Lytechinus pictus: one gene and its partner. The protein of the gene in region 1 purifies or fractionates together with the protein of each later gene. This does not show direct contact. Links are inferred from orthologs where the notes say so. Each region holds a gene or a part of one and is shown on either strand. Other genes may lie near its edges.

The links.
Region 2: the proteins of syntaxin-like (region 1) and synaptosomal-associated protein 29-like purify together in Drosophila melanogaster (affinity purification with mass spectrometry; 3 studies listed by BioGRID, with this or other methods). This does not show direct contact. The link is inferred for Lytechinus pictus from reciprocal best matches to the Drosophila melanogaster genes Syx1A and Snap29.

What each region holds. Positions count from the first base shown.
Region 1 is NC_087246.1:4,059,356-4,076,823, forward strand, and holds the start of syntaxin-like, read right to left. Parts: upstream 7,735-17,468; 5' UTR 7,705-7,734; coding exon 7,656-7,704; intron 1-7,655.
Region 2 is NC_087246.1:3,631,671-3,648,873, forward strand, and holds the start of synaptosomal-associated protein 29-like, read left to right. Parts: upstream 1-9,894; 5' UTR 9,895-9,898; coding exon 9,899-10,325; intron 10,326-13,513; coding exon 13,514-13,680; 3' UTR 13,681-17,203.

The DNA of each region.
Region 1 (17,468 bases):
TGTATTTTTCATGTTACAGGGCCAGTGTGGTTAAAGTCATTAGTCAGTCAAGATCTGGTTCTAATTTGAATCCTAAAAAATCATCATCAAACCTTAAATGACTTAAAATTTGAAGCTTTAAATTCAAAAGTCTCTAATCTTTATTCAGTCTTCAGCTGGTCAATAACTACAGCAAATCTGGATTTATTTCAAATCCATGAAATTAAGCATCCTTCCTCATTTTTCCAAAGGGACCATCTTCTTTTTAAATGTTTGTAAAATGAATCTTGACAAAGTGCTTAAAAATTGAAATAGTTTTGCACACAGACCAAAAAAAATCCATGCTGGACCCATAGGCCTATCGTGCAAATAAAATATTAAAAAAAAGATCATCAATGGAATGGATGTAAAAAGGAAGCTATAAAATAAACCTTTTAATTATCAACAACAGCCTAGACTCAAATTTATGGTATATGGACATCTTTTATTGTAATCTATGAAACCATTGAAATATTTTGAGTAAAAAATCAATACGTGATTATCTTAATGAAATGTATAAATACCCATATTCTTCTTGATTAACAGTATACATGTACACATCTGTTTATCTCTAATTAAAGACCCAATGGCTGCATATAGGAAGGCTGTGCAATGTGCCAAGTTCTGGTGAAATATCTGACAGCCATGTATACGTGAACATGACTGACACAAAAGAAAGTTGTATTTAATACTTCTAAATACCCTTTTCTCACGAGCAAAATTTTCCTTGACCCCATAACTATAGGTAGGTTTAAATTGCAAGTTAGCCAAACCTATAGTCTAGGGTTTAGCTTAGTCCAATTTTTTTTTCTCAACACATTGTTGCAAAGTGGGCTAACCCATCTGTAACATGTATAGAACAAGATAATTTGCCCTAGAAAACAGCAAGGTTAGCTGGGCAATTGCATGATAGTCCGGGGTTAAGAGTAATGTTGAGAAAAGAAACCCGGTCAAGTCAAGGATGATAATACAAGTAGCGCTAATATCCAATCACAGCTAAGCACTGATAAATTGGCTACCACTAACTTTTCGGAGCATAGCAATTTAGGCCTAAACAAAGAAATCCCCCCCCCCCCATTCTTATGAAGAGTAATAGATTTTCATTCATTTGAGCACTGAAAATTGTCAGGGCCATTTTCCACTGAAAATTGAAGAAAAAAAATTGCATCTAAAATCTGAAAATATAATTTTTTTTTCTACGCGTGTACAAACCTATGGAAAAACAACCCTTCTGAACAATGTGACGTCATGCAATTCAGGCTTGAAAAGCCTTTTGTTGAAACGGTTAATTTGAGCTTTTCTTTCGCAAAATACTCAGCTGTCAAGCGGTAAATATGCATAAAATTTAAAACTTACATAGTTGTAGTATGGAGCTTACATAATTTCCATTTTGTCAATTTCACTTTTACCTCCAGTCTGGGTCTTTAAGTCCAAGTACTATTAAAGGATAACTACACATTCACTGTATTATCAGAGCCACATTATGCACATTTAAAATTGCTTTGGAAAAGCTAGGATTTGCAATTTTTTCTTCTAAAATCTTGACCAAAACTGGTAGTAAATGAGAAGTAAGAATTGATATGGCAGCAATCTAAGAGTGTAGCTTTAATTGGAGCGGTTCAGTGAAGCATTGAATTTGGTTTCTCTGGACTCCATTCTCATTAGGACACAGTGATGTATGACAGTAGGGCTCCTAGCTGTCAAGTGTCTGATATCTGATATGGTGATAGAGAGATTGATAGGTGAACAGATTGTGATATTAGTGAGAAATAAGGGCTTCTTCATGAAGAAATGGTAAGATAAAGGGATACAAAAAATAAAAACAGTAAATGGATTGTATGAAAGTGAAGAGATATCCAAAGAAAAGATACAAAATATAGAATGGATGGATAGATGTTTATATAGCAGGGCAAAGACCAGTACTGCTGAGACGACTATACTACATTAACCATTGGGAGATTCTATCGCTCAGTGTAAAGAGAGCAAATGGGAAGTTATTAATCATCAGAGTGGCCAATCATCGCTTGAGAGATGATTCTGATACCCTGAGAAAGGGACGTAGGGAGGAGGCCAAACTGGGAGGAAGGGAGAGAGAAGATGGAAAACATTGTTGTTATAGAAGACTGAGAAAAGGTGTACATGGAGGAGGAGTGAGAAATAATGCCTAAGCTTCACAATATTTGCTTTCAGTATTAAATCCAAGAATAACTTGCTTTATTTTAAGCTTCTTGTAATATCAAATAAGGTGAGCGTAATGATAAATAAACATTTTTGACAGATGAAATAAGTTTATAGTGGTTTTGGTGTATGAAAGAAAATGTGAAGGATAGATATATTTAAACAGATTGTGATGTATTATTTTTCTAAAGCTGATTTTAATGATACTATGGAAGTCTGATTCATAGCAGTCAGAAACCACATGACCCTCTAGCATGACATTTGAGTGGAAGAAATGATGGAATTCTCGAATAAAATATATAATTACAATAACAGTAAGGCTTTGAGTTTCTAAAGAAATTCAATAAATAACACTGACAAGTAAAGCAGTAAAAGAAAAACATAACAGAAATTGTCAGAATGCTAACATGTCTGACAATAGAGCATTATACAAGTTATGTTCATTATCATTATTTTCAATATTAATATTCAGTGAATTTAAGAAAACTCATATATATATATATATACATACATACAGACACAAAGAAAAGCTGTAAAATTGTGTACAATTTCCAAGTTCATGGGTAACAAATATAGTAGGATAAAGAGATTAATGCGCAGCAAGGTCAAGAATGGAAGTTATTCGACTAAAAATACATTAGAGTATTGAAGCATTATAATCTCAACAGAAAAATTAAACAACTGATCATTATTCGTTTTCAATACAAAAAATGATTAAAAACTTGTTTTAAACAATGTGCAGACATAAGTTTATAACAAAACATTGAAAAAATGCTATAGAATTCCAAAATAAATTGAAACGAATGAAAAGAATTGCTACACACAGTAAATTACCAATGCCATTGTCAATACTAGAGCCTATAGGCCTAAGTACTTGTAAAATTAGTATAGGTTGAATGTATGTAAAAAGCAGCAAGTTATTTAGGTTATTCAGAGCTAAAATACTATTATAATTCACAGAATATACAGAGTGAAAATCATGAACCAGATTTGTATTTTGCTTCCCATATACACTACATCACAGGAATTCAATAAACTCTCTTATAAAACTCATTCTTTCTGATTGAAATGCCATCTTAATATTATCCATGAAAAGTAGATTACTCCAATATATTTTTTCCTCTAGCATTGATGATATATCAAGGCCCCAAATATTCTTCATAACGATGCCTACGAGTCATGCATAGGACATGCCTATGCCAACTAAATTGGCTTGGCATAAAATTCCTTATCAAATTTGCAAAAGGCTGTATTTATAATGTATACGGATAGTCTACATATGCACATCCCCTTGTGTTCATTTCAATCATGGCTCACTCAATGTAATTGTATCTCAAAACTCACTCCATCCTACAGGACGCCGGGTCTAAATAAGATTGAAAAATGCTCAATGCTCAATGCAAGTACACGCAGTTTCTCCCGTTTTGGCCACGAATCAAGCCCGATTATTGATCCTTAAATGTGAGAGAAGCGGTATTGATTGGGTTTGGGAAATGATGAAGAGAGAGTTTTGAATTACAGTATGAAATGGTAGAGACTACTCGTGGAGGATAGGTCGCTGGTTTTGACATTATGATGGAGATGGAGGCAACTGGGATGGTGTCAGTGCCGTGGCATTGAGATGAAGAAGCTCTCATCCAGACTACATCACAATGCATGCATGGGTATATGTAAAGCAAACATGTCCCCATCTTTTCAATAAAGGTCTTATGGGGGCCAGTGAAAAAATTAAAAGATTTTCAGTATAGGGGCTATTTTCCAAATTTAGGATCCTTCTAAACTACATTTTGTAATGAACACCATGACTCTTATGAAACTTATTTTAAACTTATTTGCAAATATTATGCACATACATTAGCCCATATACATTTTCACCGTTACATATAGAATATTCTGCACAAGACAATGTGTAAAAACTCTTCTTTGTTAGAATATAAGCAATATTTTGCCTTACAAACCAGTTTTGTTTTTAGTATCCCAAATTTAAAATTGAGAAAGCAAATCCCTATGATCAATTACATGTACAGTTGTACCATCTATTTATACTATTTATAAATATTCCTGTTGTTATTTTTGGTCCCTTTTTTAAAACAAGTGGAATGCCTCTGGCCGTCTCACCTGCATCACGCGATTCAATATAGCAGCAGTGCTGATTTTGAAAACTACTATAACTCGCACAAGATGTTCAGTGATACTTGGTTACTCTTATTTCCACGTTTTATGAACTAGACCAATACACTTATAGAGATATGATGGCAATTCAACAAATACCCCCAACGTGGCCAACGTTCTTTGACCTTACATGACCTTTGACCTTGATCATGTGACCTGAAACTCGCACAGGATGTTCAGTGATACTTGATTACTATTATGTCCAAGTTTTATGAACTAGACCAACACACTTTCAAATTTATGGCTGTAATTCAACAAATACCCCAATTTGGCCAAAGTTCATTGACCCTAAATGACCTTTGACCTTGATCATGTGACCTGAAACTTGCACAGGATGTTCAGTAATACTTGATTACTATTATGTCCAAGTTTCATGAATCAGATCCATAAACTTTCAAAGTTATGATGGTAATTCAACAGATACCCCCAATTCGGCCAAAGTTCATTGACCCTAAATGACCTTTGACCTTGGTCATGTGATGTGAAACTCATGCAGGATGTTCAGTGATACTTGATTAACCTTATGTATAAGTTTCATGAACTAGGTCCATATATTTTCTAAGTTATGATGACATTTCAAAAACTTAACCTTAGGTTAAGATTTTGATGTTGATTCCCCCAACATGGTCTAAGTTCATTGACCCTAAATGACCTTTGACCTTGGTCATGTGACATGAAACTCAGGCAGGATGTTCAGTAATACTTGATTAACCTTATGGCCAAGTTTCATGAACTAGGTCCATATACTTTCTAAGTTATGCTGTCATTTCAAAAACTTAACCTCAGGTTAAGATTTGGTGTTGACGCCGTCGCCGTCGCCGCCGCCGTCGGAAAAGCGGCGCCTATAGTCTCACTCTGCTATGCAGGTGAGACAATAAAAACCTTATTCTCCACAGAACAAGGTATGTTTGGCACTAGTTTGGAATACTCGTAAACAGATGAACCTGCACATTTGACCAACTGTTCATTATAAAAAAAGCATGTTGATGTTTATTTTTCATAGTACGTATTTCGCTTTGTGAGAAAAATTATTATTAATCTTAGTTACTTGAAATATAAAAGAGATTTGAATTGATTTGACAGTTGATTTATTTAGAATATATGCCATTTATTACTTTATGTTCTATTAAAATGACTACCTACATGTATCATGCTTTTTTTTAAATAAAGTTGTTGGATTTTACAATCATGAGGGACTACATAATTGCAAATCTATCTATGTCTTTGCAAAACATGTATGAAGCAAGTGTGTATTAATTAAAAGTTACAAACATTATTTGTAAAGCAGCAATTAGATACACATCATCACAGATTTTAGATGAAATGTGTGCTATATAAAAGCAGAATTATCATTTCATGCTTGGAATCACATCATGGAAAAGTAAGTTTACTTTTAATACAATTATTTATTATTATTCACATACCATTTTACATACAGGTGTATCTGTATTTCTTCCATTAAATGATTGCTTTTTGAAGACTTATTGTTCGCAATTCATCAACTCTTGAAATGAATTGTGATATTAATTTTTCAAACTCTCAAAAATATGGTAAGATCTGAATAGTCTTGGGGGGGGGGGGGGGTCATTATCGCAATCCGCAAACTCTTTGTGTAAAAGACCTATGTACATGTATTATGCAGTTTAGAGCATTTTTCACCTATACCCTCCCGCCCTTCCCATCCTCCTCTATTCAAAATGCTGCTTTATTACCAAGGCACTACTTGTATTACCCAGCCACTACCGAGTTCACAGAGTTTTCAGGACACACAAAGTCACACATAAATTTACATGAAGCAATAGCTTGCCATGCTCTGTCTTATGGGTTTAGGAAGTGTCATCATCATCACCAATGATAGGGACATCTTAGGTTTAGAAAACTCTCTTGGGTTTCATTCTTATTGTCGGATTAAAAACTAGACCTTGTCAGGTAGTGATATGCATCAATAGTGGACAATTGTTTTGTAAAAGATTAAAGCATATTAGAATGAAATAACAAAAAAGTTTAAAAGTTTATGCACTTGACCAGAAGAACCTGACAATAATTATATGATGAAATACGTTTCCTATATAAAACAATGCATGAAAAACTACCAAACAGTGTATTTTCAGATGCTTATTTGTGATGATTTTTTTAATTCTCAATTGCACCATTTATCAGAACATTGGACCCCCTAACCCCTGACCAAAAATGGAATATTGTGAGCAGAGGGCACTTACAACTGACTGAACCTTAATCTCTATGTATCTGGATGCATACATGTACTGTATGTCTCTTACAAATATATGTGAGGAGCTGTAGCAGGTATTCCCTGCTGCATGCATGAAAAAAAAAGATGTAGGGGCTATTATATGCCTAATAAAGATAAAACATTAACAACAAAAACAGAAGTGATGGACCCCAATTTTTTTCAATCTGTCACAGCACATATTCTTTCGAGGAGGTGGTGCTGTGACCTTTGTCTTCTGAACTAGTGATGCCAAAATCTAATAATCCTCACTCTACATTGTACACACATATTGCCAAATACATGTATAGTGACCTTTAATATTGATACCCCTAACTAATCAGATCTTCATACTTCATCCCTCCTATACTTACATGTAAAACAATTGTTTGGTCAGCAAGAGAATGGAAAAGGGAAGGACAGATAACCCTAACACATAATGACCAATAGCAACCACCCTGTGAAAGTAAATATCCTAAAATTGTAATTCAAATTTCACATGAAAAAAGTAACATTCCATGCATCACTCTAATAATGTATGCAGGAAGTAGCTTTCATCAGAAAAAGTAAACATAAATATGGATTTCATACATATTCATAGGAATGGAAATCCCATTAGTTGTTCACGTGAGTGGATTGCACGGGACCTGAATGTAAGTTCAAGACTCGAGTATATATTTTATATTTCTACACCAATTTCGCTTTAAAAAATGTTGCCCGTGTCTGTAATTTATAATATAATATCGATACAGTGAATGGAGTAACTTTCATTCTAGCTGACAGAGCAGTTAAGTGCCACCTCTCCCACTACTAAAAATAAAAGCTCTTTTTGTATTAAATAACATTTGATTTCATTGTCAGTACTATTGAATGTCTTTCAAATTCCAGTTCATGGTAAGTTACACACGTAACTATTGAAATTGTAAAAACAATCTCCTTGTTTTTGCATTACACACAAAGAGACAGTAAATGGTTTCTTCATTTGAAATACGTTACGATGAAAGGGATGACCGATGTTAGAACATGAGAGTTCATGAAAAGGTTAGTGATGTTTACTTACTCTTTAATTTTGCTCTGACTTTGTTTGCTGTTTTCTTGATGTCACTCATCAACTCCTCCAATTCATCTTTGACTTCTGCAAATGGAAAATAAAATAAGGAAAAAAATAATTAAATATGCCTCTAAGTTGTGAAGTTTTTTTCTGGGATGAGGGCACTAAGAAATAGAGGAAGGGGGTGGAGTGATGAGGAGGAAAAATTATGGTGGTGTAGGTGATTTGATAAATGATGATGATGATTTCAATGATGATAAAAAGTGATGATGGTCGTAGTGATGGTGAGCATTGTGGTAATGGTAGTGGTGGTGATTATGATAATGATCAGTTTCATATTGGTGGTGGTGGTAATGTTGATTACATGTACGACTAAACAACACCAGAACAATGACAAATTATCTCCTTTAAAGAGAGGGAAAAGGGAAAGGCGGAGGGGAAGATGCAACCTACTGCTAATCTTCTTTTACAGCTCATCCACAAATTGTGAAAATTTGTAAGAATTTCTTTTTATTACAAATACAACTATCAATCCACCCCCCCCAAAAAAAAAAGACTACAAACAAAACACTTGCTTTCAATTAATACTGATTTCTTGTTTCAAAGGCTATATCATTACATATATGTTTTACAAAAAATACACCATCTCTTAATTTGTACATACTAGTTTCACATCAGCAGTAGATATCATAATACCAATTCACACAGAGTAAAATTGGAAAAAGTTTCAATTACACTAGATAAATCATCTGTGAAGGGAACACTTGTGTACTTAAAAAAAAATTTAACCATAGGGCCTGCACATATTATATACTGTATATATCAAAGGTTGAGTCAGAACCTGTTCAGAAAGTCCATCTCTTAATCAGAGACTACATGTATATGTACTTTCTGTTTTGTTTTGGCAACCGAATGTAGAAAACTACAGGTCCTATGGATGTACTGTTCATACTTGTAATTTATTTCTGTACTAATGTGAAGTTTCCTTCCTTGATTATGAGGGCCTATGGTTTGCTGGTAATATGTAATCAGTTCATCCAACAATGTACCGAATGCAATAGAACAAATTATTTCAAGGAATGTTTATCAGGTACCTTTACTGTATGAATGCTACTATGAGGCGCCGAATGTACCAATATTATATAGAACAATTATTTGTTATATAATCATTATTTATTAAATAATAACTATTATTTATATATAATTTACATTTTATTTGTAAATAACTACTATTATATAAAATATCATTTCTAATTATTTATATATAATTCCAAGTAATACTTCATTATTTGTAAATAATAATAGTTCGACATTCCATTATTTATAAATAATGATTATTTGTTTTTCATTATTTGTAAATAATGATTATTTGTTTTTCATTATTTATAAATAATGATTATTTGTTTTTCATTATTTATAAATAATGATTATTTGTTTTTCATTATTTATAAATAATGATTATTTGTTTTTCATTATTTATAAATAATGATTATTTGTTTTTCATTATTTACAAATAATGATTATTTGTTTTTCATTATTTATAAATAATGATTATTTGTTTTTCATTATTTATAAATAATTTGTTGAGTTTTCCATTATTTATAAATAATGATTATTTGTTAAATAATGAAAACGTCTACTTCATTATTTATAAATAATTTTTTCGAGTGCACCATTATTCTCATTATTTATAAATAATCATTATTTAATGTTCGAGTTTTCCATTATTTATAAATAATCATTATTTATATACAAATAACCATTATTTATTAAATAATGCCATTATTTATTAAATAATGCCATTATTTATTAAATAATGGAAAACTCGCTATAACATGCAAATGTGGGACCGCCCATGATATGAATATTCATGATGCGATTTCCTTTTTCGTGATTTTTCTTCACAAATTTTTGTCCATTTCCTCTTCATAATGACATTTCTTGAAGCAATTTTCTAGGGATATGGTCTGATTGTAATATTCTTCATTTTCTATATAACTTCGTCTTCGTAGAAATATCAAAAAGTGTAATTTTATACGATTTTTCCTACAGTTCACAATCCCCATAGGCGCGCGTGTACGGTAGGGACAACCGGTGAATCGACGGAGTGCTCTTCATCGAAATACTACGTTGGTTGGTCCCCGGAAGTGGCGGGCGGAATTTAGCCCGAATCCTCGATGGAAGTCGATCAAGTGCATATGAGCTGAGAGAGTGAAATATCAGTGTACTTGTACAGGCCCTTCTACTTTTTATAAATATTTCTTGTTGCTTTTTTTGTTAAGTTAATTTTTCCTGGTGTAGAAATAAGTTTCAGTTCTAATAATGCACTTCAAATACATTTTGGAGTGTCTGTTTGAGGCGTTTGGGGCGATTTCACCCTGGCCCCAAAATGCTCGCAACGACAATACGGGGGCATGATGACCCCTTAATTTTTAAAAACTTATTTTTCTATTGAAAATTATCACAAAATTCACCAAAAGTGTGCACGAAAGCCTTCGTATTTCACTTTTAAAACTCCGAAAAGTGCCCAAATGACAAGCTTGGTCGCTTCGCTGTGTCGCTTTCAACTTGAGAACGTTTACGCGTCTGCTCCCCCCCCCCCCCCTCCTCCGAAAGAAATTCTGTATACGGCCATGCTCTAAAGAGCCTGGCACATTGATTTATGTATACTTTCATTTTCATTATTTTTATCTCATTATCAACATGGCCTTACGCAGAATTTTTTCCAGGGGGGCCGGGGCCGGAGCATGACGCGCGTAAACTTTCTCAAAAAAATCTTGAAAGCGAGACAGCCACGGGACCAAGCCCAAATGACAAGCTTTGTCGCTTCGCTGTCTCGCTTTCAACTTGAGAACGTTTACACGCGTCTGCCCCCACCCCCCGAAAGAAATTCTGTGAACAGCCATGCTCAAAAGAGCATATGGCACATTGATTTATATGTACTTTTCATTTTCATTATTTTTATCACATTATCATCATGGCCTTACACAGAATTTTTACCGGGGGGGGGGGGGGGGGGGCAGCTAGGACGCGCGTAAAGTTTCTCAAAAAATCTTGAAAGCGAGACAGCGACGCGACCAAGCTCAAATGACAAGCTTGGTCGCTTCGCTTTCTCAAGATTTTTATGAGAAAGTTTACGCGCGTCCTGCTCCCCCCACCCCCCCCCGGAAAAAATTCTGCGTAAGGCCATGATGATAATGAGATAAAAATAATGAAAATGAAGTATACATAAATCAATGTGCCAGGCTCTTTAGAGCATGGCTGTTCACAGAATTTCTTTCGGAGGAGGGGGGGGGGGGGGGGGGGAAGCAGACGCGTAAACGTTCTCAAGTTGAAAGCGACACAGCGAAGCGACCAAGCTTGTCATTTGGGCACTTTTTGGAGTTTTAAAAGTGAAATACGAAGGCTTTCGTGCACACTTTTGGTGAATTTTGTGATAATTTTCAATAGAAAAATAAGTTTTTAAAAAATTAGGGGTCATCATGCCCCCGTATTGTCGTTGCGAGCATTTTGGGGCCAGGGTGAAATCGCCCCAAACGCCTCAAACAGACACTCCAAAATGTATTTGAAGTGCATTATTAGAACTGAAACTTATTTCTACACCAGGAAAAATTAACTTAACAAAAAAAGCAACAAGAAATATTTATAAAAAGTAGAAGGGCCTGTACAAGTACACTGATATTTCACTCTCTCAGCTCATATGCACTTGATCGACTTCCATCGAGGATTCGGGCTAAATTCCGCCCGCCACTTCCGGGGACCAACCAACGTAGTATTTCGATGAAGAGCACTCCGTCGATTCACCGGTTGTCCCTACCGTACACGCGCGCCTATGGGGATTGTGAACTGTAGGAAAAATCGTATAAAATTACACTTTTTGATATTTCTACGAAGACGAAGTTATATAGAAAATGAAGAATATTACAATCAGACCATATCCCTAGAAAATTGCTTCAAGAAATGTCATTATGAAGAGGAAATGGACAAAAATTTGTGAAGAAAAATCACGAAAAAGGAAATCGCATCATGAATATTCATATCATGGGCGGTCCCACATTTGCATGTTATAGCGAGTTTTCCATTATTTAATAAATAATGGCATTATTTAATAAATAATGGCATTATTTAATAAATAATGGTTATTTGTATATAAATAATGATTATTTATAAATAATGGAAAACTCGAACATTAAATAATGATTATTTATAAATAATGAGAATAATGGTGCACTCGAAAAAATTATTTATAAATAATGAAGTAGACGTTTTCATTATTTAACAAATAATCATTATTTATAAATAATGGAAAACTCAACAAATTATTTATAAATAATGAAAAACAAATAATCATTATTTATAAATAATGAAAAACAAATAATCATTATTTGTAAATAATGAAAAACAAATAATCATTATTTTATAAATAATGAAAAACAAATAATCATTATTTATAAATAATGAAAAACAAATAATCATTATTTATAAATAATGAAAAACAAATAATCATTATTTATAAATAATGAAAAACAAATAATCATTATTTATAAATAATGAAAAACAAATAATCATTATTTATAAATAATGGAATGTCGAACTATTATTATTTACAAATAATGAAGTATTACTTGGAATTATATATAAATAATTAGAAATGATATTTTATATAATAGTAGTTATTTACAAATAAAATGTAAATTATATATAAATAATAGTTATTATTTAATAAATAATGATTATATAACAAATAATTGTTCTATATAATATTGGTACATTCGGCGCCTCATACGCTACAGCATGTACATGTAAGGTTTACAAACATTGTATGATACGCTAGTAGAATGCTGTCATTACAAATACCAGCACACATGTATACAACAGAGAAGTATCTGTGCACACACATGTGAACGCTAGTATAAGAGCAATATCAAAACACATAAGTGAACGCTCCATCAGACAATATTGGCGCACATATGTGAACGATTCATTGAGCAATATTTGGTGTAATATAGAATCATGGATTTTATTGATACAGACTCGTGACATTTGATAGCGGAGCACTGCACATTGGATGGGTTTGATGGAGTAATAAAGACCTGCACAAACAATCTACCTTTAGCCTCTATGCCAGACTGCACTCTTATTCACTTCATACTCATTTGTAGACAAATGATGGCAATACTTTGTAACAACAAATTATTTTCAAATAATTATTCATTTTCCAGTTCAGTAACTCATTTTCATATTTTGCCATTTCACTGTGACATTAACTGGCTAATTTTGCACTTGTACTTTGCCTCATCCATCTTTGAAAATTTATTGCACATCGAAACAAAGCAAATTCATGTCACAAATAATTGAAATAAGTACAAGTATAGGTGTATGTCAAAATATTGGATAATAGAATAAACATTACTACACTAAATAGCTGCATGTAATCACATCAACCTTTCCCCTATGGAAATTTAGGACATGTCGAAGATTGCTTTTCACTTTTGTATCAAACACTTTTATGGTAGGCTACCAATTTGCAATGAGCCCAATATCATGCGCCTATGAGTGTACGAGGTTTATGAGTTAATCATACATGTTAATGATGAGGTAATCATGAGAGAATGGATGATCTAGACTTTAAAACATTAGCTCAATCTTCCTGGGGTAAACATTTATTTCCTCTAACCTTTATGCAGCACGATACAGGTATATGGAGAAAGAATACTGACCGGCAATATATTCAGATTTTACAATGAATACATTGAAACATCCCTTATGTGCACAGCCTTGGAGATAAGCTGCTGAAATTATTCATTAATAAATATACCGGTATTTGTATCATCATTTAAATCCTATTTGTTCATTCATATATTAAAAAATTAATGGATTTACCTATATATTAATGTATTTTATTTAATCATTGATTCATGTATTTGTTTTTATTTGATTTATTAATTTATTTAATCATTTATTTATTTTATTCTATTTTATCGATCAATTTTTTCAGTTTTTCTTTACTGATTCAGAAGTGTAACAAGTACATGTATCTTCTGAGAAAAGGAGTATTATATAAAGCTGGTAACAACTACCTATTAACATTTTTAAAGAGGAATGAGAAGAAAAAGTGCCTTTCTATCAAGTGACTATCTAATGAAGATGTGACTCCCATCACAGGCAGGAGGGTTACGGGCACTATCTATCAAGTGACTATCTAATGAAGATGTGACTCTTATTACAAGCAGGAGGGTTGGGGACCCTTTCTATCAAGTGACTATCTAATGAAGATGTGACTCCCATCACAGGCAGGAGGGTTACGGGCACTATCTATCAAGTGACTATCTAATGAAGATGTGACTCTTATTACAAGCAGGAGGGTTGGGACCCTATCTATCAAGTGGCTATCTAGTGAAGATGTGACTCTTATTACAAGCAGGAGGGTTGGGACCCTACCTATCAAGTGACCTTCTAACGAAGATGTGACTCTTATTACAAGCAGGAGGGTTGGGACCCTACCTATCAAGTGAATATCTAATGAAGATGTGACTCCCATCACAAGCAGGAGGGTTGGGGCCCCTATCTATCAAGTGACTATCCATGAAGATGTGACTCCCATCACAAGCAGGAGGGATGGGGGCCCTATCTATCAAGTGACTATCCATGGAGATGTGACTCCTTTCACAAGCAGGAGGGTTGGGGGCCCTATCTATCAAGTGACTATCTAATGATAGGGTGTCTGAAGCCACACTGAAAAGTGTCAGCATAAAACAGGCTGATTTTAGGGAAAATATGGCACATTTTTGGGGGAAATTCAGGCTGCTAGAAAAATGTGATCTGAATTGATTATTAACTTGTATATGGCATGTATGGAAAGAGAAAGTTCAGGGGCTTCTTTTGACAGTAAGGACAAGTTTATAGGATTATTTGAAATAAGGATTTAGAGATAAATTGCAAACCCTTATTTGTGTGTGTGTTGAGATTGCCATTTCCCCATGCGTTTTCTATGGGAAAATAACATTTCTGTTTTGCACAATTTTTTTCACTTTGTCGCAATTTTTCATTGTGATCTGGTTTCCAAATCTTTATAAAAATCATACCATCAGAAAGAGCATGAAAAATCATATTTGACTCTTTATGGAAAAGTTTTTGGCATTAATAACAAATTTATAACAGCTCTCGGAAGCTAAAAATTTGGATTTGTGTGTGTCCATTTCTTAACTACACAGTCTATGGCAGAGAAATGCTGAAAATTGACCTAATTTCATTCTTCTTTTTTGCAGCCAATAATTTGATTTTTTTTTTAATGTTACATTTCTGTCAGTCTGAAGGTCATTTCTCTTCAAATTCACAAAGAAAATGTGATATTTTCTTGAAATAAGAAAAATAATTTTTTTCTCCAGACACCCTACTAATGAAGATGTGACTCCCATTACAAGCAGGAGGGTTGGGGGCCCTATCTATCAAGTGACTATCTAATGAAGATGTGACTCCCATCACAAGCAGGAGGGTTATGGGCACTATCTATCAAGTGACTATCTAATGAAGATGTGACTCCCATCACAAGCAGGAGGGTTGGGGCCTTATCTATCAAGTGACTATCTAATGAAGATGTGACTCCCATCACAAGCAGGAGGGTTACGGGCACTATCTATCAAGTGACTATCTAATGAAGATGTGACTCCCATTACAAGCAGGAGGGTTGGGGGCCCTATCTATCAAGTGACTATCTAATGAAGATGTGACTCTTATTACAAGCAGGAGGGTTGGGGCCCTACCTATCAAGTGACTATCTAATGAAGATGTGACTCTTATTACAAGCAGGAGGGTTGGGCCCCTATCTATGAAGTGACTATCTAATGAAGATGTGACTCCCATTACAAGCAGGAGGGTTGGGGGCCCTATCTATCAAGTGACTATCTAATGAAGATGTGACTCTTATTACAAGCAGGAGGGTTGGGCCCCTATCTAACAAGTGACTATCTAATGAAGATGTGACTCCCATTACAAGCAGGAGGGTTGGGGCCCTACCAATCAAGTGACTATCTAATGAAGATGTGACTCTTATTACAAGCAGGAGGGTTGGGCCCCTATCTATCAAGTGACTATCTAATGAAGATTTGAATCCCATCACAAGCAGGAAGGTTGGGGCCCTATCTATCAAGTGACTATCTAATGAAGATGTGACTCCCATCACAAGCAGGAGGGTTACGGGCACTATCTATCAAGTGACTATCTAATGAAGATGTGACTCCCATTACAAGCAGGAGGGTTGGGGGCCCTATCTATCAAGTGACTATCTAATGAAGATGTGACTCCCATCACAAGCAGGAGGGTTGGGCCCTATCTATCAAGTGACCATCTATAAATGAAGGTGTGACTCCCATCACACGCAGGAGGTTGCAGGCTCTATCTATCAAGTGCTACATGACCACTCTGGAGGATGACCCACGTTACCAGCATAAGAATTGTGGGCCCTTTTTATCTAATGAAGATGTGAACCTTTTTTTTACATTTCAATATATATTCAATATATTAAAGCAATATTGCCATAATCTACAAAAAGTTGAATATATAAAGTGACGTTTGCAGGATTTGATTCACAATTTTATGAAGTTTTTTTTAGGCCTAAATGTTCATTGTATCCATGAATAGGAATGATTTCCTTGTATCTTGTTTACAGTGTCATGGAGTCATGTAGAATTTCATGAACATGGCTGATCATTGGTTATGTAGTAATGTTACCCTACTGCTGCTTGAAAATAAAAACCCTGAGATAAAAAAAAGCGGAAGTAGACATCCTGAGCTTGGAGCAGAGATGCACACCTCTCACTTCTTGCTGAGTATGTACGATCTCTTCTCATGATATTGGTGGGTGGCGTAGTACTAAAGGCTGACATGCAGACAGAATTATTCACACACACAAAACACACTCCATTTCATATGCACACAAGGCCCCCCTGACTACTTAGTCTCCATTAAAGACCCAGATTTCCCCTCTGTTTTTGTGCTTCCCCCACCCACACATGTACGCTATGAACCTGATCCTGTTTGTTTTGGCATAACCCATGGAGTTTGTTATTTTTTTATATACATTTTTTCCATCTGAGATCCCTTGCTATCTAGAAATTACAACCAATATTTTTCCAAGTTCATCTGAATCAGGATTTATGACACAAAATATATCCCTATTAAGACTCCATTTTTATTCTATGATTCTTACATTTAATTGTCATATTACTGTCATTTCTATAGTCAATTTTAAATATTATACCTACATGTATCAATGATCCACTCATTAAAGGGATGGTCCGGGCTGAAAGTATTTATAGCTTAATAAATAGAGTAGAATTCACTGAGCAAAATGCCGAAAATTTCATCAAAATCGGATAACAAATTACAAAGTTATTGAATTTTAAAGTTTAACAATATTTTGTAAAAACAGTTGTCATGAATATTCATTAGGTAGGCTGATGATGTCACACCCCCACTTGTTCTTTTGTATTTTATTATATGAAATTAAGTTTATTCAAATTTTTTCTCCAAGAACTAGACAAATTTGATTGACAACTGATATAGTGCATTAGATATTTATTGCTGCAACTTATTTCATTATAAGGGAGACATATTATTCACACAAGTATAAAATAATGAAAAAATTATGATTTTATGTAATAACATAAGAAAACGGAAAGTGGAGATGTGACATCATCAGCCCACCTAATGAATATTCATGATGGCTGTTTTCACAAAATATTGCTAAACTTTAAACTTCAATAACTTTAATATTTGTTATCCGATTTTGATGAAATTTTCGGCATTTTGCTCAGTGAATTC
Region 2 (17,203 bases), about 430 kb from region 1:
ATATTTCATATATGTATACATCATATTGGTAATAATATCATTATGTGAGAAGTGAGATTTTTTATTAATAGAGTCAATGGCGACAATAGTCAAATATGACTAATCGCCACTCAAATCAACATAAGAAGAAGAAGAAGATTTGAACTGACTGGTAAACAAGAATACACTGAACTCCAAATACCTTTAAATTGCATGTACCTGTATATAAATAATAACATGCACTATTTGCTTTAGTACACATAATTGGCTTTGACAACAATTGAAATCGACAACCCTTTCCAATATGGCAGTCTAGAAAATAATTTGATATAAACTTTAAATGCTTGTGACCTAGAGACATTCAGTTATGCTCAAGAAAATAATGAATTGCTTTTTTCTTGCAATCATCTATAAGACATTGTCCCTTTAAAACATAAATTAACATCTATGTCCTATTATTTTTACAAACATTGTGTTCCCTATTACACAATATCATATCATTTTCTGGGTCTTCACAGATTAAATTCAAATTCTAGCTGAGCATACAGTATATACACAAAGTATAAATCTAACGTTATGTATCTTCAATCCTTACAACTCTTTGAATATTTCCAACTATTCTTTTCTTGCAAAAACACTTGAATTGAGTCGGTGTTTAAACTCAAAAGTGAACATGTTTTTTGTCTCCTCTTAATCAGCAATGACAATATCAAACTCTCTGCATCAAATCTGGCACCTTTGTAAGAATAGTCTTGTTTGAATAACATACTTTATCAACTGTGATCATCAAATATGCCTTTTAGATCACAAAATACACAAAAAGAAACCTGAGGATGAGATACATTTACTAGATTAACTAGTCTCTTATCAAGTTGAAATATCCCTTTTATATAGTCTTTCTTCAATCCACAATTTAATAAACGTTTTAATGAATTTCGGAACTTATTATGTCCATCATCTTGAAATTCAAAGTTCTTCATGTTTTCGTCAATTTCAAACTGTTCATGTTGTAACTCATGATTCATTATAGTCTTGTTTTAAGTCTTGAATGTTTCTAAACTTTCCATTCTTTAAGAATGATTTGCTGCTTGGCTGAATGTCGTCGTGATAAACTGCTTGAAAATGTCCTCCACTCTAACAGTCATTCATCTCGAAACAATGAGAATGATTGGTTTCAAATTTTTGAACATTCCTTTGAGCATTTCAAAACAATTCTTGATAACTGATGCAAATTCCTTTTCCTTGATTAGCAATTCCTGCTTTGCTGTGCTATCAAATTATCAATTTTCAATCGACCTGGTACCACACTAATCTTCTTGTATTGTTCTATAAGAGCAAATTCAATATAAAGACAATTTTAAACAAATTTGACAAATAAATCTCAGATATGAATTTACTCCTTATCCTTTTATCAAATCCATATTCCGCACAAATTGCTTGTTAAATGCACTTAGACCAGGGAGGAGGGAGCTTAGACACTGCTATTTTACCTCGCTCACTAATTTTAAACTTTCTGCTATTTCCAAAAATACGATTTCTATACTGGTCCTTTTTGGATCTCACTGCTACATTTTTACACTTTCACCACAATGAGAAATATATCTTTGTAGTGCCTTAAATTCAAATATTTTCTCTAACAAAATACATATGTATCAGATAATTTTTATGACCAAACATGTACGTGTACAGATTCAACCGTATCCCTTTTCTGAATTTCTTTGTTTTACAATGTACGGTGTGAAACTGTCAACTCCAAAATACATGTAGCCAAATAAAGGTTTACCAGGTGACACTCTGGGCAGATTGGCCAGGTCCGGCCCCTGTGGAACCTTGTCAGGTAATGCTTCTTCATTATGCTTTGCCACACAATCACTAATAACTTGTGGACTTATGACTAAATGGTGAGGTAAGTACAATGAGGTTATATCTTCTAATTGTTCTGTCTTATTAACTTTCATTATAGAGTAGTTACTTAGCATATGTTCTACGTCCACTTGGTGTTTCTTCTGAAGTGTATCATCTATCAGTAATCTCTTGGGTGACGACTGCAAACGCTGTTCTGCAGTCAAAATGTCGTCTGGTAGTTTTGGCGTTTTCTTCTCAAATGACGTTGGCGATAGGTTGTGAACTCCATCCTTTTTACCACTACTCTCCCGGAAAGCTGACGCATTACTAACATTGACGGACGAAACCTTGTCCTTCTGAAGAACTTCTGAGCTTTCATTCTTCCTGAATCTCTGAAGTCTGCCATCCTCCAGTTTGATGTCGCTACCAACAAAGCTTGTAGTAGCTGTGTGTATGTCTTCTGGCATCTTGGGCTGGACAGGACCACTTACTGCCCATCCTAATTTGGTTCTTACAGCATAAGGTCCATCCTCGGATGCTCTAATTTCTATAGGTATCAATGCTCCAGGCACATCTTGTCCGATCAAAAGTCCAACTTCATGTTGTGTGACGATAGGAATGTTGATTCCTTCTAGGTGGTTGCATCCTCTGATGTCTTCCATCTTGGCAATGTGAGATTCTTTGACGTTGATTGACTCTCTTGTATATACACATGGTAACTTCACTATCTCTGTATCTTTGCCTGTGTCTACTATGAGGCTAACAACTGATGTATCTACTGTGCTGTTAGATCTTCCAAGTGTTGATAGATTTAGACTTTGCTTCCTTTCCACTGCATTAAGTTGTCTGGATAGGGCTGCTGTACAAAACGTGCTGGTAGAACCAGTGTCTAGGAGAGCATAAGTTTCAACAGACTTGCTCTCGTTGTGAGCCCTTACCGTAACTGGAACGATGGGAAGTACACACCTACCGGTCCCTGTGACCGATTTATCAATGAAGCTATTCTGAGCTGTTTGGATTTCATCAAGTGGCGTTTGAGTGGAAGAAGATCTCAAGTGTTTATTTGGTTGAGGCTGATTCTCTATCTCTTGATGCGGAGTACCTCTTTCAGGTGACAAGCTTTCCCGAAATAAGTGGAGAAACTTTGTATGTTTTCTCTGACATCCTGGTACTGAGCATGTTCGGTTCAACTTACAAATTCTGCTGGTGTGACCGTGTTGCAAGCAATTGAAACATAGTCTGTTCTCTTGTGCAAATTTAAATCTCTCATCAGGTGTCATGGACTTAAAGCTGTCACAACCAAACAAGGTATGGTCTTGATAACACTTGAAGCACTTCTTGGGCTTAGGAAAGCTTGAATTATCAGTGACTGCTGTAGAGTAGCTGCTCTTTGAATGTTGCTTGTTGAAGCTTGGTTTAGATGCTGATCTTGGAGAAGTCGCAGTCAGCTCACCGAAGACTGGATCGTTAACTTCTTCGGCGGCATCAGATACAAACTTCACCATGTCAGTGATATCTGGAGATCGACCTCTTTGCCTAATGTCTCTCACTACTTTCAACCATCTAGCTTTGAGATGAAATGGTAGTCTTTCTGCCAGTTTGACCAGCTCTCTGTTACTGCTGATTTCCTTTGTCAGATTCAATGCCTTAAGAGTCTCAAGACATACCTGTAATTCGTCAGCAAACTTGCGTAGTCCAGTTCTATCATTTGCATGAAGTGCTGAACCATTAGTTATCTGTTCAATCCATGCTTCTCCTATCTTAAATCTACTGCCAAAGCGTTCTCTCAGTAATTCTCTGGCGCGTTGATATCCTAGCACTGGATCCATTACCATACAACACTGTATGATGTTCTTTACATCCCCTTCACAGCACTGATACAACTTCATGAGCTTTGTCCCTCTGTCTAGTGTAGACGAGCCTATCAAATTATCAAAACATGCCATGAACTCATGATAGTGTAAAGGGTTACCGTTAAACTTCATGATTTCCACATTTGACAGGCTTATTGCTTCCAACAAACGATGCTGTATTTGCTGATACTGATACAAATCTTGGTTGTGCTGCGGGTATGGCATTGTGTCTTCCAAATTCTCCTGACGTACATTGTTGCCATGCTCGCTGGCCTGAATCTGTGGCTGAATGGGCTGCTGCTGTTGACCAAGTTCTTCACTTGTGGGTTCTATCTTAATGTCGAGTTGACTGGGATGCTGATCAAATTGTTCATATACAGCCTCTTCTGCTGCTGCAACTTTGAGCTTAGTTTCTAACATAAACTGTGCCTTCTTTTGCTGTAGATGAAATTCTTGAAGCTCTAACTCATGCTGTTCCCTCAAGGATGCTAGCTCTGCTGCCAGGGCTGCCTTCTTGGCCTTCGTCTTTATCCTTGATGACGCTGTTGAACTCTTACCACCTTGGCTGGCCGAGTCCTCGGACTTGATACTTTCAGATGATCCACTCATGGCGACTGTTCTTGATGGTGACGGTGACGACTGTTCTTACGGTGACAATGTTATTGAACTTTATGTGACGTATAACTACTAGTGACTTGACAGTAGACAGTACTCAAACAAAAGACTCGGTGACGCGGAATTTCCAGTTATCATACGATGCATCAAATATACAATCTGGGCATACCATCTAGCATACCATCGAGCATACCATCGAGCATGTTCAATCTGTAGCATAAAAATATAAACAAACAATAATAAGCATCTGTATATGCAGTTACATTTATGTACTTGCATGAGATAAATAAATAGTCTATGTATTGCACAAATTATTTGTGACGTTTGAATCTTGCATAAATAAATATTCTGGTTTCCTGTAACAAATTTACCTGTCAAATTCTGTCAATGTATTCAAATGACCTTGAATAAACTTTGCTATATGCGGTTAAATAAACAAAACCTTTACTTTGTCTCATTTGTCCTTTATATCAACTACGATACTTAAATATTACCTTGCCTCTAAACTATATACTCTGGGGCATTATTGACTAGCAATAACTTTACTCAAACCAAATAACTAGGCTTTCATTTCACCTTCACTGTATGTGTTATTTGTAATTATCAGGGCTTTAAAATGCACCAAAAACTGGCTTTAATGCCTTATTTCCAAACTCATACATATACTGTATCCTTTTCAACAACTAGAGCCAAATGTAGCTAACAAAGAACAACATTTGTTTATTTGACATTCCATTTCGTTTACAACTCTGAACATGAATAGCCTACTATGCACTGTGTGCGAGATTACCACACAGTACCGTACCAATATGCTATTACGCAACACTCTTCATGTGCATGTCCAATTACCTATTAATGTACAATGTCAATATACGTTTATCACACCTGTATTCTATACGTTAACTCCAAACACTTTCACCAAAGTTATGAGCTAAATTAACAACAAATTAATTATCGTCTCGAGTTAATTTTGGTTCCATATATTCAGTTAAACATTACATTACGGAAATATAAAGGTCCTTTTACTTACAACATTGGACTTGTACCGATTATCTTGAATTCTACTGTAAAGTCACGACGGGCTGAACTTTAAATCTTTGTCGATCTTGGCAAGGCAAATTTCCAACGCCCTCTATCGACCCAGATAAATGATACTACGACCCAATAACGTCTCTGACGTCATGTTAAATATTTCAAAGAAAAAATACACTTTCTAAATCTTACACCCTTTTTTCATTATTTTTGTGTTTTTGACACCCTTATCACGTTACGTACGTAACGTGCCCTATCGTGAAAAAGACATCCTTTTTACGTGTTTTTTTGGTCGCGCATGGTATCCACTCGTCAATGTAAGTGGCCCCCCCGGGGCAGCTGGTCTTGGGGCCCTGGGGCCCGTTTCTCAACACATGGACAAGTTAGTCATATCTTTATCCACCAACCACGGAGTTAGTTCCAATCTTACTAAACCTGTTTCTCGAAAGGCTTCCTAACTAGAATACCTTGATATCGATACTATCGGTAAAAAGAGCAGACGAGACGTAGCCTTAGTCACAAAATAGCATAATTTTCAAAAAGAAAAATTATTACAAAATTGCAAATATTATGATGAATTGGGAAATAAATCTTTTCAAAATAATAGCACAGGTGAATTATGCATCATACATACTTAGACCATGAAGACTGGAGCATTCAATTTCAGAGAAAATAATTCATTTCATGACTAAAAAATCACTTGTGGACGTTGAGATGGGTACCCCCGGGAGACCCAATTTTAATAGTTTACGAAAGTAAACCATAACGGTTTTCTTTGTAAAATGATGATAATTATACGGACCATTACGATTCCAAACGTCATCAAAATATAGTTAACGAAACATTTTTGTCTCACCTGCATAGCAGAGTGAGACTATAGGCGCCGCTTTTCCGACGGCGACGGCGGCGGCGACGGCGGCGGCGGCGGCGTCAACACCAAATCTTAACCTGAGGTTAAGTTTTTGAAATGACAGCATAACTTAGAAAGTATATGGACCTAGTTCATGAAACTTGGCCATAAGGTTAATCAAGTATTACTGAACATCCTGCCTGAGTTTCATGTCACATGACCAAGGTCAAAGGTCATTTAGGGGCAATGAACTTAGACCATGTTGGGGGAATCAACATCAAAATCTTAACCTAAGGTTAAGTTTTTGAAATGTCATCATAACTTAGAAAATATATGGACCTAGTTCATGAAACTTATACATAAGGTCAATCAAGTATCACTGAACATCTTGCATGAGTTTCACGTCACATGACCAAGGTCAAAGGTCATTTAGGGTCAATGAACTTTGGCCGAATTGGGGGTATCTGTTGAATTACCATCATAACCTTAAAAGTTTATGGATCTGATTCATGAAACTTGGACATAATAGTAATCAAGTATTACTGAACATCCTGTGCAAGTTTCAGGTCACATGATCAAGGTCAAAGGTCATTTAGGGTCAATGAACTTTGGCCAAATTGGGGTATTTGTTGAATTACAGCCATAAATTTGAAAGTGTGTTGGTCTAGTTCATAAAACTTGGACATAAGAGTAATCAAGTATCACTGAACATCCTGTGCGAGTTTCAGGTCACATGATCAAGGTCAAAGGTCATGTAAGGTCAAAGAACTTTGGCCACGTTGGGGGTATTTGTTGAATTGCCATCATATCTCTATAAGTGTATTGGTCTAGTTCATAAAACGTGGAAATAAGAGTAACCAAGTATCACTGAACATCTTGTGCGAGTTATAGTAGTTTTCAAAATCAGCACTGCTGCTATATTGAATCGCGTGATGCAGGTGAGACGGCCAGAGGCATTCCACTTGTTAATAATTGATACCGAAAGATACGATATTGGACAAATTATATGCATAAATTAGAGATAGAATTCATCCAACTGTTAATAGGGGTCTGAAAACAACAAATACGAGTTCTGTTATGGATGGCCTGACGTGGTAGAACTAGAATCTTTATCGATTAAATCATTTTACTATTTCAAAATTAATGGTTTTGTGGCGTTTACCAACAGTTTTTATAGTTTCTTTGTATTACAATTATCATTGAATGCATTAACCCACTTGTTTTGTGATGTAATTTCAATCTCTATGATTGATTATGTAAGATTATAATTTTAAAATTTCTAGGCACTTTCGCATGTCATAGTCTACCCACGTGATGCCACTACGTCATTAAGAAAGAAGTTAAGACAGGTTCGGAGGTGTCATAAATATTTAGTGAGGTTGTTGTACCCGATCTTGGTAAAGAGGGCTTCGTGAAACGGTTAGCGGACAAGTAGCTCACTATCTCCGATTTAGTCAAGAAGTTAGACTTATGACGGTGTTGAGAAACGGGCCCCTGTTTCATAAAGCTGTTCACTATGTTTAAAAGTTAGAGTGACTTCAACAACTGGCATGACCATGATTACTGGTGATCCTTGTGGTAAATGATATTCACCATTTATTTGATCATGTTAATGATTGATGATTATTTAATGTAAGATACTAAGAAGAAGGTTCACCAGTCATTCCTAACTAAAGACTTAAAGGAGAATGAAACTCTTGGAGCAAGTTAGCTTTTGTGAAAGCAGAAAAATCAAAGAATAAGATCAACAAAACTTTGAGTAAAATAGGACTAGCAATAAAAGAGTTATGAGCATTTGAATGTCGAGATCACTAATGCTATGTAGATCCTCCCATTGGCAATGCGACCAAGATCTGTGATGTCACGCACGTACAACTCTCCCATTCGGACACTGAAAATATACCCCAAAACATATCTTTTTGCTCATTCTAATCATATGACAAACGATTCATCAATGATATAATGTTGTGAAACCTCTGTACTTGTCATCTCATAAAGAAAACACATAACCTTGTGATAGACTCTATAAAAGTGAGAATATAAGTGAAATAAGTACTAAAGTAATGAGGGAGTTGTACGTGTGTGATATCACAGATCTTGGTCGCATTGCCGATGGGAGGATCTACATGGCACTAGTGATCTCAATATTCAAATGCTCATAACTTTCTTATCATTTATTCAATCTTCCTCAAACTTTCAACAATATGTTTCTTTGATTTTTCTCTTTGATATGGATTCAGCTAGTTTCAAGGGTTTCATTCTCCTTTCAGTCACTCTTAACTCACTTGCTCACTGCAACCATCCTGCCTGTGGGATTCTACAGGTAGGACTATGGTTAGACAGGAATAACAATCATTTCTGGGGATTTAACAATTTCTGACATTTTACTATCATCCCCATTCACTGACGGTAGTGTGTTAGTGCGAGCCTGCATATATATATACAGTGCGTCCCAGAAAAAACCAAAGCGAGATTAAGCGATGATTTATCACAACTTAATCACAAATACAATCAACAAATGACCTACCAATGTAAAGCTTAGAATCTCCTCTTTCATCTGATTTTACTTAGATTATTCCTCATTCACGCATGAGTGAGCAAAAACAATTTGAAGAAAGGATGCAAAAAACTCATTTGGCGGGGGGTATCTGAATTTCAAAAAGAAAATCACATGCCTAAAAAGTTCAATATGTGCTCTTGTATTTGATACCTTAATCAGACAAAATGGTCGAGAAGTAAAAAAAGTTATGTTCCCTCGAAACAATGCTTGTATTTCCATAATTTCATTAAATAAACGTGTTTTCATCGGTTTCCCACAGAAGCTATCGCATGGTTAACAAAAGACTTAACATGCTTAATGCATGGCTGATCGTCAACAAAACGGAGTGTCAAGAAGTGAGTTTGAACGCTAGCCTGTAGAACCTCTTCATTTTATGAAATTATTGAAATTCAAGCCTTATTTCAAATAACCAGAACTTTGTTATTTCCTGAACATTTTCTGTAATTGAGGTATCAAATTAAAGAGCAGATATTAAACTTTTTAAAAATGTGGTTTTCTTTTTGAAACCCAGATACAGTCTGCCAAATGACTTTGGTATCCCCTCTTCAAATTGTTTTTGCTCACTCATGCGTGAATGAGAAATAATCTAAGTAATTTCAGATAAGGGGAGATTGTAAGCTTTACAATTGTAGGTCATTTGTCTATTGTATTTGTGATTAAGATATGATAAATCACCAATAAATCTCGGCTTCGTTTTTTGTGGGACGCACTGTATATATATATATATATATAAAAGAAAAAGAAGGTTAGATGATTTCCTGTGTTTGAATCAGTGTAGGAAAAACATATTGTGATGGGTAATTTTGCCCAACTTGCCTCCTAAAATTCTTCAAATCAAAAACTTTGGGATGACGCTCTTCTCTCAAGTTGCCCTAAGATCTGCCACAAACAATATTGAAAAATATGTAGAAAATCAGTATATTCAATATGGCAGAATAACCATATAATTGCCTACTGTGCAAGAAAGTAGCACCTTGAAATTAAAAAAAAGCCCCAGAATTCAGCAATCACCCCAATATGAAAAAAAAAATGGTCCTTATGAAATGAAAATAATTTATTGATTGTATGTTTGATGATATCCCAAATTAGAGGAAATTGAAGTAGGGAAAAATTCTACTTTGTAATCACAAATTATGTATATTTTCATATTAAAAAAAAAAACCTATGCAGGAACTTTTACACCAAGGTGAACAACTCAAGAGAGTGGACACCAAACTGGACAAGATGGACAAAGACCTTGATACATCTAAGAAACATATCACATCAATGAAATCAATATTTGGAGGCATTGTAAACTACTTCAACAAACCCAAAGCTGGCCAGCAGGAGCAGCAAGCCCCGTCACACGGTTCTAGCAACCTTAAGACACACATGGAGAGGGTGGAAGCAGAGGAAGAGATGAGAAGAGCTAACTCTGATCATCCTGCTCTGAAGCTCAGAGGGGTGGGTGCTTCGGAGCCCAGTGCAGGTTCTTGGGGCTCATCTTGTACAGGAGGATTTGGAGGGGAGAATGATGGTGGAATGTCTAGCAGTAACGTGTTGCAGTCACATAGTATGAGGGACTTTGATAATCATCTCAATTCTAATCTAGGTAAGCTATATATTGTAGTGACAAACTGAAAATGAAATGGACTACATATGACTTTTCTACAAAGCACAAAATTGGAGAAGTAATGAGATAGAGAATAAAAGAAAGAGACCTGGGGGCCGTTTCATAAAGCTGTTCGTACATGTAGGTTAAGAGCAACTTTATTAAGAAAGACTGGTGAGCCTTTCTTACGCGCTGAATAATCACCAATGGTGTATACCATTTACCAATAGAAAGGATCACCAGTCGTTCTTAAAGTTGCTCTTATCTTACAAACAGCCTTATGAAACGCCCACCAGGTAATACATGTATAATAAGATATCATGTTTGTTCTAGAAAATAAGTCAGAAAAAAAAAATCTTGGAACCAGACAGATATGAATTTGTTTTCTATTGATTGGTAGGCATGTCTCTACCACCAGGCCATTTCTAGTCCATGGCACAGCACATACACGGATCTAGACTAGATTTGCCAGAGGCATACCACTTGTTCAGATTAAATACACAATCTTATTTTATCGAGAGCAAACCAGCATTGTCTCTGTATAAGGTATTTTTTGCAACTGCAATAGGGACAGATTCAAGAACACAGTAAATATATTGAAAGTGCCTGTCAATGACAAAGAACAGCTGGGAGGTCTTTGTTGAATATTGATGAACCGGAACAGAAGTTTAGTCCTAAGTTCTAGAGCTGACAAAAAATTGCAAATTTGTCGTTTGTCCTGACTCCAAGATGAAACTGCCATTGTGATTCACCAAGTTTTGGTTGTGCTATGTCATGGATATATTTTCTATGTTCTTTAATCTGTTGTGCGTCATGGAAGCAAAAACTAGATTATTGACATTTCCCCCAACAAACAATTTACAACTCTGCTAAATCAGCAACATTGCCACATGATTAATTCCATTCTGAAAAGTAGGTCAGATCAGATGAATTTAGATTTGCTGAAAGTTTATATTTGTTCATTATTATGAAAAATATTTTCTTTTAAAGGGGAATCCAACCCAAATAAAAACTTGTTTTTATAAGAAAAAGAAAAATCAGACAAGTTTATAGGTGAAAGTTTGAACAATATTGGACAAACAACAAGAAAGTTATGAATTTTTAAAAGTTGTAAATATTGGTAATCACTATACTCATGGAGACTTCAAATTGGCCGCATATGGGATGTCATAGTGATGTAAGGCAAGGACTACTCTTCCATGTACTCCAATACATATTATGGCTAAAATGTCATTTTTCCCAAAAGTTTTATTTCAAATTATATTTTTCTTTCATGAGGACATTAAACAATATACTACCTGGGTTATATTTAGATTACTGCCCCAGGGGAATGGGTACTTAGGAGAAAACCACAAATCCCTGATAATAAAGTACATGGCCTATGGGAAAGTTGTCCTTGCCCCTTGTCATAATTTACTTACCCAGTTGCCAATTTGAAATCTACATACTATTAGTGATCTTAATTTTAAAGCAGCTATAACTTTCTTATTGCTTGTCCGATTTCTTTCAAACTTTCACCATTCTGTTTAATTTATTTTTCTCCTTCCCAACACAACATTTTATGGCAAAGGCTGGATTCCCTGAAATCAGAATTTCTTGGAGGAGATCTTAAGTTGAATCATGGATCTATTTTAGATAGACATTCAACGTGATTCTTTGATCAAAGGAGATTTGCTGCCTAGAGATTATCTCTAGTCTTAATCAGAACATATAGGTGATGTGATAGTTGCGACTACCAAGGGTCATCAGATCATAATACAAAGAAACAGTTTTCCAGACCTTGGTTTTGTTGGCTAAATTGAGAAAAAGACAATTTTTATGATATGAAATATTACTTGGTCCCAGGCCTGCTTGGTCCGCAAACTTCCACACATAAATATAATTACTTCAATAACATTGAGAGATACATGATCTCTACACATGTGCCTTTTGTCTCTGGAATATTAGGAGGAAACTTGGAAATTGGGATTATAAATGATACACAATCAGTCACCGTTTTTTCTTATCTTAAAATATGCATATAAATCGCAATAGAACACATGGAAATAAGATTACCAAAGGTTAACCAGAACTTCCTAATGCCTCATGTTTCATGAAAATTAATTAAATTAAATTAATCTTTTTAATGAAAATTTTGCATTGTCTTGTTTCCTTTGAGGATAATGATACTTTCTGATTGCTGATAATTCTCAATTTTTTTTTTCTGATTTGTTAACAAAGGGAAAGTGGAACACTCTTCTTCTACATCAATACCAATTAGTGGTGTAGTAATCTAGTTGTATGATTTGTTTCCTTCATTGGCTTACACTAAGGTAGTCTACAGTTTTCTAATGTCTGTAGATAGTGTTTCCTCCATCCCTTCCTTCACCCATTTCATTCAGGAAATGAGTGATGAGTTTTGATTTGTCTTTGCAGTAGAACTCCTTGAATGATGAATTGAAAATGACTTTTGAAATCCATATTCATTGAAACTGAGTATTCATAATATTAATCATACCTATTGAATTAAAAATCCTTATTAACATGGCTAGAAATTGTTACAGTTCCATTTTCTAACAACTTGGACAAGAAACAATTCAATTTACTTATACATGTAGACTCATGAAGATTGAATATTTCTTAACTGCATTTAATGAAATATACCCCCATTAGGAATAAATACCTTGATGAATGTTTGATTGCCTATATGGGTAGCACTGCTAAAGCCAGTGTAATATAGCAGCGCTCTGTACCCTCTGGCAAAAAGCGATTTATAAATCCAGCTATTGTTATTATCATTATTATTAATGCTAGAAATTTGATTTGAAAGTATAGAATTTATGGCAAGAGAGAAATTTGAAAAAGAGTAGAGTCAAAATAGAGGTAATTTTTATTGTTATATTGATTAAACAGCATAGAAATTGTGTTTAGATTTATTTTCCTGTCATCTGAGGAATTCCTTAAGAATACATGAAATGTAAACTACACGATGGATTGATGCAAAGTGTAATTTGCATATTTTGTTCAGATTGCATGTTATATTCTTTATATATATATTTTGTAGTTACCATGCATATAACTATCAATGCAATATTTTAAGGTTTTTGCCCTGTTGAAATACATTTATCCTGCTCATTTGATTGTAGATGATTTAGGTAGCAAATTACAATCATTCTTATATTTATCTTCTTCTTCTCCCTATCAACTAGATGAAATTGGCTCAGGTATTGGTCGCCTAAAGGGACTTGCCATGGGATTGAATGATGAACTGGAGAGACAGAATGCTGATATTGACAGGATAACAGGCAAGGTAGAGAGAGTAGATGACAAACTGGGTAAAACAGACAAAGAAGTAAAGAAGATCCTTAGAAGATAATGAAGGCTGGTATCAGGAAACTTGTCAGCCGTCTCTCCTCAGTTAGGTTTAACGATGTGACTATATTATATTTTTTTTATCATCAATGTTTTGCCCCTCGATCATATTTTTGTCAATATCCAGTCAACATGAATTCTCTCATTTCTAGATTATTACATTTGCTGTTTGTGTATCTTTCATGGTAAATATTTTGTTAATTTACCTGTTGTCAATACTCAATGCAGTGGGTGAAAGTTACCAGCACTGACAGTTAACTAATCTACAGACCAGTTCTTCTCAGCCAATCAAATCCAAGGATAAAACCAAATTGTCAGAGCTGCTTATAACTCTCATGTAACACCTTCCAGATGTGTTCATTCTTTAAATACTCTTGCATATTTTAATGATATATTTTGGAATTGTGCTGAAAATTGGGATTTTAGATTTTTTCTATTATTATTGTTATTATTATTGTTGTTGTTTTGTTTATTTGTTTCTGTATTTGTTTTGAGGGGGAGGGGGTCAGTGTTGGTACTTGGCAGGTATGACTTTATGAATTCTTAAATGTTTTTAAGCTTTGTTTGAATGAAGGGTCACTTTCTAAGCCTTGTCACTCATATATGCACCAAAAGTTGTGAAAATTTTCACCTTTCAGCCACATAGTGTTAGTAGCCAATTTGCTTTTAACATATTGAAAGATATGATGGATTTTTCTCAAAGCCAATTCCAGAGGATATGATTACAAGCTATTTTTTGTCTCACCTGCATAGCAGAGTGAGACTATAGGCGCCGCTTTTCCGACGGCGACAGCATCAGCATCAAATCTTAACCGAAGGTTAAGTTTTTGAAATGACAGCATAATTTAGAAAAGTATGGACCTAGTTCATGAAACTTAGACATAAGGTTAATCAAATATTACTGAACATCCTGCCTGAGTTTCAGGTCACATGACCAAGGTCAAAGGTCATTAAGGGTCAATGAACTTAGACCATGTTGGGGAGTCAATATCAAAATCTTAACCTAATGTTTGGTGTTTGAAATGTCATCATAACTTAGACAGTATATGAAACTAGTTCATGAAACTTGGCCACAAAGGTAATCAAATATTTAGTGAATATTGGATGGCCTTGAGTGGGATGCGAAGAAATATTGTACGAGCTGAAGAACAATATTGGATGAGTCGAAGACGAATCGAATATTGTTCTTCAGCGAGTAACAATATTTCTACGCATCCCACGAAAATTGGTCATCCAATATTAGTATTATTATTTAGATACCCCCACAAAGCTAAACATAAAGTAATGAAGCAAAAAAAAAAAGTTTTTAGTAACCATCATCATTTATGGCAATCCTGTAAAGTTCATGAAACTTGGCCAATATCATGAGCATGGCGCCTGAGTATTGTCATTAAAAAAAAAGAAATCTCTGTAGTAAAGTAAAGATGCGCTAGCGTATAGTGCAAGCGCATTTGAATTCAATAAATAAACGCTCCTTTACCACACTTCCTGGCAACTAATACGCAATGCAATTTCATTGTGACGTAACAATAGCTTCATGCGCACATTCATTTATTAACCAATGATAATCTTGTGGGCAGGGCAAAATATTCATTTCGTCCAATATTTTCAATATTGGATGGTTTTTATAGGCATGCACGTTAAAAATCAGTTTTAATATTTTGTCTCTTTGAAACAACCTCGCAAGACATCAAAAAATATCTGCGCCTCTAAAACCCTACATCTAAATGATAATACTGAATATCCTGTCTGAGTTTCAAGTCACATGACCAAGGTCAAAGGTCATTTAGGGTCAATGAACTTTTGCAAAGTTGTGGGTATTTGTTTAATTACCATCATAACTTTGAAAGTTTATGGATCTGATTCATAAAACTTGGACATAAGAGTAATCAAGTATCAATGAACATCCTGTGCGAGTTTCAGGTCACATGACCAAGGCTAAAGGTCATTAAGGTCAATGAACTTTGGCCATGTTAGAAGTAATTATTAATATTAATATTAACTTTCAAAGTTTATGGATATAGTTTATGAATTGTAGAAATTGGGGTAATCAAGTATCACTGACAAGTCTTAGGTCACATGATCAAGGTCAAATGTCATTTAGGGTCAATGAACTTAGTATTGTATCATTATATGAATGGTGTTTTTTGTGAATAATTATTTTATAGTAGTTTTCAATGTCAGCACTGCTGCTATATTGAATGGCGTAATGCAGGTGAGACTGCCAAAGGCGCTCCACTTGTTTAAGAATAATGCCGTGTGCTTGTCCTATCTGGTGCAGAAAATGACAAATCAAATGGATTCAAAAGAATTCAATATAAAGTTTCTGCATCTCTTAACTTTATTTGTACATGTATCTGCACTCTTTGCATTTCATGTAAAGTGATCACTAAGTCTGATATAACAGAATTTTATTGAATTAGCCGGGGTTTGGGGTACATGTAATTGGTTCTACTTTATTTTGCAAAAATTAAAAAAATTGAAAAGTGTAATGTGTTACTAAATACCAATCTTGCGATTGAGCGCACTCATAAGTGACTTACCCCCCCAACTGACGTGACCCACTGTATGCGACTGAAAAGGAGATTATTTGTAAACAAGATGAGGAGATTGTAAAGAAGTAAAGCATGGATGGATAAAGTGATCTATTTTTTATTGCAAATATTCATATATTTGTTAATTATTTTAGGACAATTCAAACCTTTATCTGTAATCTCACTTAAAAATAGAGGCAGCAGCCTCTGGATTGGGGAGGTTACATTTTAATTCCTATACATAAGACCTCGAAGTATCCTGTTTTTCCAACTGTCCAAATCTTGTCACCCTGCGGGGCTATGCAATTTCATACTAGCCTGGACTATATAGGGTTAAGCAGTGTCAAATACAAGTTACTGTAATAAAGTACAATGTATTAAATGTTTACCCAAATCAAAGATACTACAAGGGGAAGATTGGACAGTACATAGACCGCGTAATGAAATGCTCTGGAAGAGCGCCCTACAGCGTTGAGTAAGTAACGACCTTTTTTAACCTTTGCTTATCGCGAGATGGTTGTGTACAAAACATATGAGAGAAGGGGTGAAGGAATAGACGATTTTTACATTTTAGATTTTTTTTTCTTCAATTTTTTCCCCTTGAATTTGAGATGAATATATTTCAGAGGTTTTTTGGTAATAAAACATAGAATTATTCCCATGTGCCACCCTTGAGCCCTCTCCAAACTCCTCCCCTCTCTCATTTCCCCCATATGTTTTATACACAGTCGCGTGCTGATATGCGAGAGTTTACTTACTCAACGCTGTTGGGCGCCCTTCCCCATTTTTATAAGCATTTATCGAGCGTTTCAAAAAATCGTTGAAGTGTCCGTTCTTCCCTTTGTTGTATCTTTGCCCAAATTCAACCAGTCTCCTATATACAGTGCGTCCCCGAAAAAATGTCCCTCTGATATGCGGCTAAATTACTTCAAAAAATAAAAATTATTCTCAATAATATGTATGGAACTACGAAGCTCAAATCATGTTCTAACT